Arabidopsis thaliana: one gene and its partner. The protein of the gene in region 2 interacts with the protein of the main gene of each other region in a pairwise test. Each region holds a gene or a part of one and is shown on either strand. Other genes may lie near its edges.

Region 1 (4,316 bases), on a different chromosome or scaffold from region 2:
ATATTAAAAAGGAAAAATGTCTTAATTAACAAAAACATTTTTTTGGTTTAAATAACAACTAGACAGTTCAAACGTGCAGCTGAGGCTGATAAAAAGGTAGGAATTCGTATTAAGTTTTCACCACTAAACCTACTAATTAAATGACATAACATTAGTGGACTATGTGGAATTTGAATCTTCTATAAGTATTTTTCATCTATATATTTTTAATGATTTACGTCAAGAAACATGTATGTGAAAACTCTTATGGATCATTAGTGTAAAGTTATTATGTTTGGACCATATATAAGAGAGATTATTTTCTTTTGTGAATTTTAAAGTTAATACTAAGTGTTAAATCTGGTTGTGCCATACAGGCCATTTTTAGTGGACTTATTGGGATAATGGATAGGACTCACATAGTTGTTTTTTATAAAGATAGGACTGATTGCAGCTGAGGCCATTTTTAATCCCATGGTGTTTGGAACTAATGAGTTTTTATTTACTTGTTACATTTGTATATTAAAGTTTGAAGAAAATAAATAAATCATCTTTCAGCATGTGCAATTCGAATAATTTTTCTAACTAACGAAAATATCAACTCAAGAAAAAATGTATAAATCCTGGATAAAAGTTTTACAAAAAAATATTATAACCCATCAAAATAACATTACATGTTTTTTTGCACATGACTTGCAAATACTTTGAGATAGCTCTTAGGAACAACCTTTATTTAAACCAATCCATTTTCAGTAGAGATTATTCTCTTCCTTGCTTTCTCAGCCTGCAAATAATAGAGTCCAGTTACTTCAGAGCATTCAAAAAACTAGAATGTAACAAACTCTAACCTGTTCCTTCCAGTTCATGGAGGCTGTGACGATAGCCAGTAAAGTGGCTTGCACCGCGGATCCAACCATAACACCGCACCAGAGTCCTTTTCCATTCCACTCACGACTGAAAGCTAAGTAAACTCCAACAGGAGCTCCTACAAGATAATAAGCCACCACGTTGATCAAAGCTCCAATGTGTTGCCACCCACATCCCCTAGCCACTCCATTTAGAACTGCCGTTAATCCGTCGAGGATGAAGGAGAGACAGAGCAAAGGAGATATGTCAGCAACATAGTCAACAACTTCTTTGCTGTTGCTGAATGTGTAGCCTATGATGTTTCGGCAGGTGAAGAGAAGTGTGCTAAAGAAAGCTGACTCTACAAGCCAGAGACAAAGCCCTGCCAATACGGAAACCCTAGCAACTTGAGGATTTCCAGCTCCCAATTTGTTTGACACTCGTGTGCTTCAAGAAACCAAATGACTAATGTTGAGAAAGGAATTGTTGAACACTTGTTCTGGTTTGAGAGTTGAGATCATACCTCACAGCCGCCGCGACTCCAGATGGAATCACATAGTGTAAAGTTCCTATTGTAAGACTGATAACATGAAAGACATAAGATTAATACATTTTGGTAAAGAGAACACATAGGATAAAAAGAAGTAATATGATACTTACCAAATCGAAAGAACAGATGTCTCGAGTTTTGGGTTTGGGAGAAGACCTGAGCAGAGTATGAGTAGCTCAAACAGCCACCATTCTAAGCTATCAAAGAAGACAAAAAAATGCAAGCAAGATAAGAGGAAGCATCGGTGTATTGTAACTTAACCAACAAGACACGTGAAAATGGTTTACTTACCAAATCAATCCAGCGGATGGGACTCCGTACTGGAAGTACTGCTTGATACTAGACATAAAATCATTTGATACAAATCCGCGAGTCTTCTCGCAAGAGCTGAAAAATCTCACATGACATGAGAGTATCACAGCGTAAAACCAGAAAGACAAACTAATAGCAATAGCAGCTCCATTGCTTCCAAGACCAAGCGCGAAAACCAAAGTCCAGCAAACCGCAATATGGAACAAAAGGGTGGTCATGGCAGAGTATAGCAGGGAAATAACCAACCCTTGTGCTAGCAGAAACCGAGTCAGTGGTAAGAAAATAGCATGGGCAAACAAAGCCGGTACGAGCCACAATGAGTAGGAGCCAGCGACTCTAGAGATGTCAGGCTCTTGCCCGAGAGTGATCAAGAGCTTTTCGATGTAAATCCATAGAATTGATATGATGAAACAAATTGGTATGTTGGAAGCCATTGCAGAGTATGTATAGGTTCCGATTTTTTCGTATTGTTCTGCTCCATAGGCTTGGCCACAAAGAGTTTCCAATGCACCAACTAACCCAAACTACACAAAAAAGAATGCAGCAATATTTCAATATTGGAAAGTTAATTGAGTTCTTGAAATGAAGAGGAGAGAGTAATAGCATAATTACCATTATGCTGAAGCCGGAAACGTTTGTGAAAGACGTGGCAAGCGCGACACCGGCGAGCTCCAACTCGCCGATGTGGCCGGCGACCATGACTGAGATGACAGGCAATAAGTACTGAGCTATGGTTACGGTGGCCATAGGAGCGGCCAAGCGGCTCACTTTCTTCAGCTCGACGGTGACCTGACCACTTTGCCATGTGGATTTACAAGAGACTAACTGCTCGTCTCTCGGAAGAAATGGCTCTTCCATTGTCGTCTTCTTAATCTTGATTGATTTGCCTCTGATTTTTTAGATCATATCCAATCTTGTACTGATGGACGAAACCAATGTAATTTATTGTCAATGAAGACTTTTCGTCAATATCTAAATATATATATAACTCTGCTCGACCAGTGAAAACATTTTTTTCTCATGTTAAGATATGCATATGAAAGTATTATTGTTACTACCAAATTTTAGACCCGTAATTGACTGTGGGACAAATAGTTTTCTCTCTTCAATGTGTGTCACAGAAAAAAATGTTATTCTATTTATTAAGGTAAAAACAGATATGATATGATGTACCCATAATAATAAATGCTCCATATAAATTATATTATTAAGAGGGTCCATATAAATTATATTTATTAAACACATATATCATGTGCATGAATTGGTTTCTGATTTTTGTAGACGTGGTGGCCTTGTTGTTTCGATTTTTCAAAAAGTTAATTATTGCCGACAATAGTGAATAGTTTTTTTTTCCTTGTTTGATATAATGTTATGAATATGATCCAATTCCGGTTTAATGTTGGTCTGATGACATTCGGTTTAACAGCAGATTGGAGTTGGTTATTGAAACGGTTCGCTTTGGTTTACAGAAGAAGGAAGTTATGATTGGAAGACTCTCATTCTGAAAGAGGCTTCGATGCTCGAAGTCAAACACATATAAATAGAAGTCTGTTATCTTCTTCTTCTTCATTCCGTTAGAAAGTTGTTACGATCTCTCTTAAACCCAGAAAATTAGGGTTCTTCATTGATCTTGTATTGAGCTCAGAGAAGTTTGTAAACATCTCATATAGTGGATTGCCGGATCTATCTGGCTCCAGACGTAGATCTAATCACACAGATTAGATTGAACTGGGTAACAAATTCTTGTGTGTTGTTCTCTGTTTCTTCTTTGATTCACACAAACAAACTTCGAGTTGAGAGATTGAGAGCTGATAAGTGAGGTTCGCGTTCGTATTGGGATCGGTTCTATAACATTTAGCGAAATGAAATTGGAACACCTTGATTAGAAATAAAATTATAAGATTAAAATAAATTGTATTTTGGTATAAAATTTTGAAAAATCAAGTAAAACAAAAAATTAAATTTCTAAATACTTATTTCAGAAATATATCTACTAGATATTTTATTTGCTTTTTTGTACAAATATTCTTTCACATATATTTATTTTCAATTAATTAATAGATTCATTACTTTAGTTAATAATTTTTAATTATTTAAACTGTTCTTACATTTAATTGCCCTTTAATTTATAGGTAAATTTTTTTATTGGTTTCCTTCTCACTAAATGACTTCAAGTTCTTAGCCACTATATGAGATTTTATTTGTTGACTTACTCATTATTTGATTTCTTAGAAAACTTGAAAAAATATGAATCACACCATTTCTTTTCTATATGAAAAAATATAACCAGAATATGTATTTTTTTTTTTATAAAACTATTTCACATCTAGAAGTTTATTAAGAAAGTATTGAAAAATTATATAATTTAAGAAAATTATTTACTAAAATTTAAATATAGTATAGAACACATTGTCATTAAAATAAATTAAATAATAGAAACAAATAGATATGAGGTTCAATGTATAAATTTATGTTTGAAAAATTTATATTTTGCAGTATTACTTATCATGAAATAACCTCAAAAAATATATTTCAAAAACATACTATATTGTCTAATGTCTATTGTGTGAGTCAAATCTGCACATATAAACCGGCAAGCTTAATTAAGGGAAGTAGTGTCGCGGAAATA
Region 2 (4,341 bases):
CGTGTTGTAATACTCAAGAGTTAAATTCTGAGAGTCTTAATTAAAAACAAAACAAATGAAATGATGAATTGTATGTACATATATATATTCTGGTTTAAGGAATGTATGTACTTGGTGGATTATTAAATAGAGTTGTATAACTTTAAAAGTAAAACGTCAGATATAGCGTGCGGAATATATATACTATAAGCATCCGATAGATAAGTCGATTCATGCATGAATCACAAAAACTACACCCATTTAGAAATACAGTTAGGTATTTTATCACATGGAAAATTACAAGATAGTTCAATACTACTATTCCACAATCTTATAATTTGTTTCTCCATGAGTAGGCCTAGCTATCCATGAGCATCTATTCTGGCCAGGTTTTAAAAATGGGTGCCTAGTTTTCTAGTACTAAAATATACTACAATTTTATCAAGAAGAATCATCAAGATTTATTGGAACATTCCCTGAATTTTTGGGGGTCATGTAGGTTACTTTCTTTATTCGAATAAGCATGCACATGTTTTATAAATTGTGATGCGTATTTTGGCAAAAGTTTTCCGCAGCCCAAATAAAATCACTAGACCAAACTCGAATAAACTGCATGTATACATAGATGTTGAATTGAACTCTTAGAGATTCAAATTTACAATCGGTTTCTAATTAATTACGCTTCCAACTACGTTTTTGATCTGTCTTATTCAAAAATCAGATAGGGTTTTTAGACACTTCGTTACGGCTCCTTGGTTTTTAAAACCTTTTAAGGCTAAACCTGAAACTCAAGTGGTTTTGTCCATATCTCTCAGCTCAACATATTTATAACTATTATGTGTTTGGTATAAAGCATGCACATATTTTATAGAGAATTTGCATGTTAACGCATCTCTATTTGTAGAGTCCGTAGATATTTAATGTATATTATGTTATCTTCATAAAAATAGTGTGAGCAAAAGGTATAAAAGTAGTCGTATATGTAGAAAGGACAAAGGGTGTTTAATCTCAACAAGCACGATTTTTCTTTAACTACAAGAAATGAACCAACCTTTAGCCAATTGGGTCTGACTCATGTTCAAGAAACTTTAAAAGTTACTTTAATTTCTTTCATTTAATCATTTTTGTCATTAGTTTTATTAAAAAAATATTAGTGCACCTATTCCACGATCGATCGAGATCTAGGATCCTAAGGAGAAATGACCAAATTTTATGCTCGAGTAAACCCGTTTCCTTTAGATGATCATGATTAAAACCATAGTCGATGTAAAATCATCAGTGAGCAATAAATACGAAAATTGATGTTTGATATTCAGCGATGAACATTTTCGACTTGGGATGTCTTTTTGTATGCCAAAAAATAAAAGAAAATAAGAAATGCACTAGACTGAAGAAGACTAGTAACGTAATGACGTGGAGATAAGTTAGGTCATAGTGTAACATGTGTACATAGCATCATCGTCTACAACAAACGTTATATTTCTTAATTTCACCTTTTACCAAAAAACAAACGTTATATTCTGTTATCATCTCTGTGACATGTTCCAAAACCATCTAATCTAAGTCTTGTCTCCTTTATCTACATATACGGACAATTAGATATCACATGTACGAATATACAGGCAATGTGGGACAAAATTCAAAAAAATGTGTCTAAAAGGGGACAAGTGGTCATTAACCTTAATTTAAATTACGGCCAAATGTTTAGTAACTAAATAAATATGGGGTCGAAATGTAAATTCTAAATTATCTCACAAAGTGGGGTACAGAAGTGAACACTAATAAGTCATAAAGAGAGATTTAAAGGAGAAACGAAAAGCATTAAGATTTAATTTATATGAAATTAGTGAAAACCAACCAAAAAGAATTTATATGAAATTCTAAGGGGCAAATTGCGGAACAAAGATTGTAAATAGCAAAAGGAGTTTCAGTATAAATATATGGGGACAAGGGCCATAAAAATAACAAAAACATTCTTAGAGAGCTTTGGAGATAACGAGAACAAGAAAGAAAGAGAAGATTATATACATAGAAAAGGAGAGATCAAATGGAGTGGGAGAAATGGTACTTAGATGCGGTTCTTGTGCCAAGTGCTTTACTTATGATGTTTGGTTACCACATCTATTTGTGGTATAAGGTTCGAACCGATCCTTTCTGCACCATTGTTGGTACAAATTCCCGCGCCCGTCGATCTTGGGTAGCAGCCATCATGAAGGTAGTTATATTACTCAAAAACGATATATATCCCGAAATAATCTTTCAAAAATCTTGTGTTAAGTGATTGTAGTAACTAGTAAGTAGTAATTACTAATTAATCATCATATTAGCGAAAGTAATTAGCTTCATTGAACATATATACCATAATGTTTACTAACTGCAATTTTTCTATGAAAATTGCTTATGCAAAAACTTAGTATAGGTGTCGGCCCAAAATTTTATTAAGTCCGTATGAATACAAAATAAATAAATTTGCATGCATATTTGGCCAATAAGAGACTATAAATCCATACAATGTCATAATATCTCTATGTATACATCATTAACTTTCTTCATATATATGTACACAGTATATACATAGAATTACTTCTCAAATAGTAACAATATACTGTGTCTTTGTTCAGGACAACGAGAAGAAGAACATCTTAGCGGTACAAACACTACGAAACACGATAATGGGAGGGACGTTAATGGCAACCACTTGCATCCTCCTCTGCGCAGGTCTCGCTGCCGTTTTAAGCAGTACTTATAGCATCAAGAAACCTTTAAACGACGCCGTATATGGAGCTCATGGTGACTTCACTGTTGCACTCAAATACGTAACCATCCTCACAATCTTCCTCTTCGCCTTCTTCTCTCATTCTCTCTCCATTCGCTTCATCAACCAAGTCAACATCCTTATTAACGCTCCTCAAGAACCTTTTTCTGATGATTTCGGCGAAATAGGAAGCTTTGTGACTCCCGAGTATGTCTCTGAACTACTCGAGAAAGCTTTCTTGCTCAATACGGTAGGTAATAGGCTGTTCTACATGGGCTTGCCTTTGATGCTATGGATCTTTGGGCCTGTGCTTGTGTTCTTGAGCTCTGCTTTGATAATCCCTGTTCTTTATAACCTCGACTTCGTGTTTTTGTTGAGCAATAAGGAGAAGGGTAAAGTCGATTGCAATGGAGGTTGTGATGACAACTTCTCGCCTTAATTATCTGTTGATGTTGAATTCGAATAATGATAAAGCTGTTTGTTATTACTGATTTACTAGTCTAAAAAGTCTTTCGATTTACTCTTTTCAAAGCTTACCAAAAAAAAAATGTACTAGATCCGAGTCTTTTTTTAATTTTTAATTTTTTTTCCTGGTGAAGATATTCATGATCTGCTATATATAATTAGTAAAAGTTCCATGGATAGTCAAAATGGAAATTAATTAACAAAACTATCTTTTTTATAAAATTTTTTATTACTATGCTGCTAACAAGTAACAATGATGCGACCATCCTTAGTCCCTTACACTTGATTCGTCTATTATTTTTTCTAATTCAAATGTCAATTTTTTAATGGCACAGATACTCGTTTTCAAGTCAATGGAGTGATACTCATCTGAATTGGTCGTGTCTTTTTCCTTTATATTAGCCCTATCAGCGGCTTTAATAATTATAACAGACATTATTATATTGATGATTATTGGGATCCAATGAAGAAAGCGCGGATCACCAAGTTTTTGATCATTGGTATATGCGATTCATCCATTTCATAACGGATAATCATTCTTACGCGATGATCTGCTGAGAGTGTGACAATTATTTGATCGTTTACGCTATGTTCCTTAACCTGGTCATAAACAACGGTATATATATATATATGCGTTACCTTAACTACTTCACAAGCAAGGTTTCAACTTTTCAAGTAAGGAATTCACTCACCGTAGTCTCTGCAATACCAAAATCATCCAACAAGCTCATCGATAAGTAATCTTTTTTGCGCCAGTGAATTTGAACATCTGAAATAGTATCCATCATTTTAAATAGCTATCACCTAGGCATAATTTTCTAATAAACACGAATTCACAAAAGCGTAAATAGATATATTTGAATATACAAGTAGATTACCGGAGTTTTCAAGTATGGATATGATGACGTTGCTAACCTCCGAAGTTATGTTCATCATCTGCACCATAAATTACTTGTAAGAATTAACTCCGAGTGATCATTCACTTTTATACTTTTCATAAATACAAAAATAAAACAAGACAATACTTTTCTTGTTCCTGACACAGAAAGCCTTCCGAGAAGAAGTGCAAATGAAGGTGACGAAACATGAGGAGCTTCTTTGAGTACTAAAGCATGATGAGGAGGTTCAATGTTTTTTGAGTA

Evidence for each region. The genes of interacting proteins can lie anywhere in the genome.
Region 1: the proteins of AT5G10580 (region 2) and AT2G04080 interact in a protein complementation assay, tested with the Arabidopsis thaliana proteins (one large-scale study listed by BioGRID).

What each region holds. Positions count from the first base shown.
Region 1 is NC_003071.7:1,356,615-1,360,930, forward strand, and holds AT2G04080 (MATE efflux family protein), read right to left. Parts: upstream 2,790-4,316; 5' UTR 2,546-2,789; coding exon 2,300-2,545; intron 2,212-2,299; coding exon 1,667-2,211; intron 1,573-1,666; coding exon 1,486-1,572; intron 1,406-1,485; coding exon 1,349-1,405; intron 1,273-1,348; coding exon 828-1,272; coding exon of another isoform or gene 798-827; exon of another isoform or gene 764-797; coding exon 713-763; 3' UTR 542-712; downstream 1-541.
Region 2 is NC_003076.8:3,345,485-3,349,825, forward strand, and holds AT5G10580 (plant/protein (Protein of unknown function, DUF599)), read left to right. Parts: upstream 1-1,896; 5' UTR 1,897-2,026; coding exon 2,027-2,194; intron 2,195-2,600; coding exon 2,601-3,147; coding exon of another isoform or gene 3,148-3,173; exon of another isoform or gene 3,174-3,534; coding exon 3,535-3,572; 3' UTR 3,573-3,649; coding exon of another isoform or gene 3,650-3,799; 3' UTR 3,800-3,814; downstream 3,815-4,341. Other genes in the region: AT5G10590 (uncharacterized protein), read right to left, coding at 3,650-3,799, 3,892-3,984.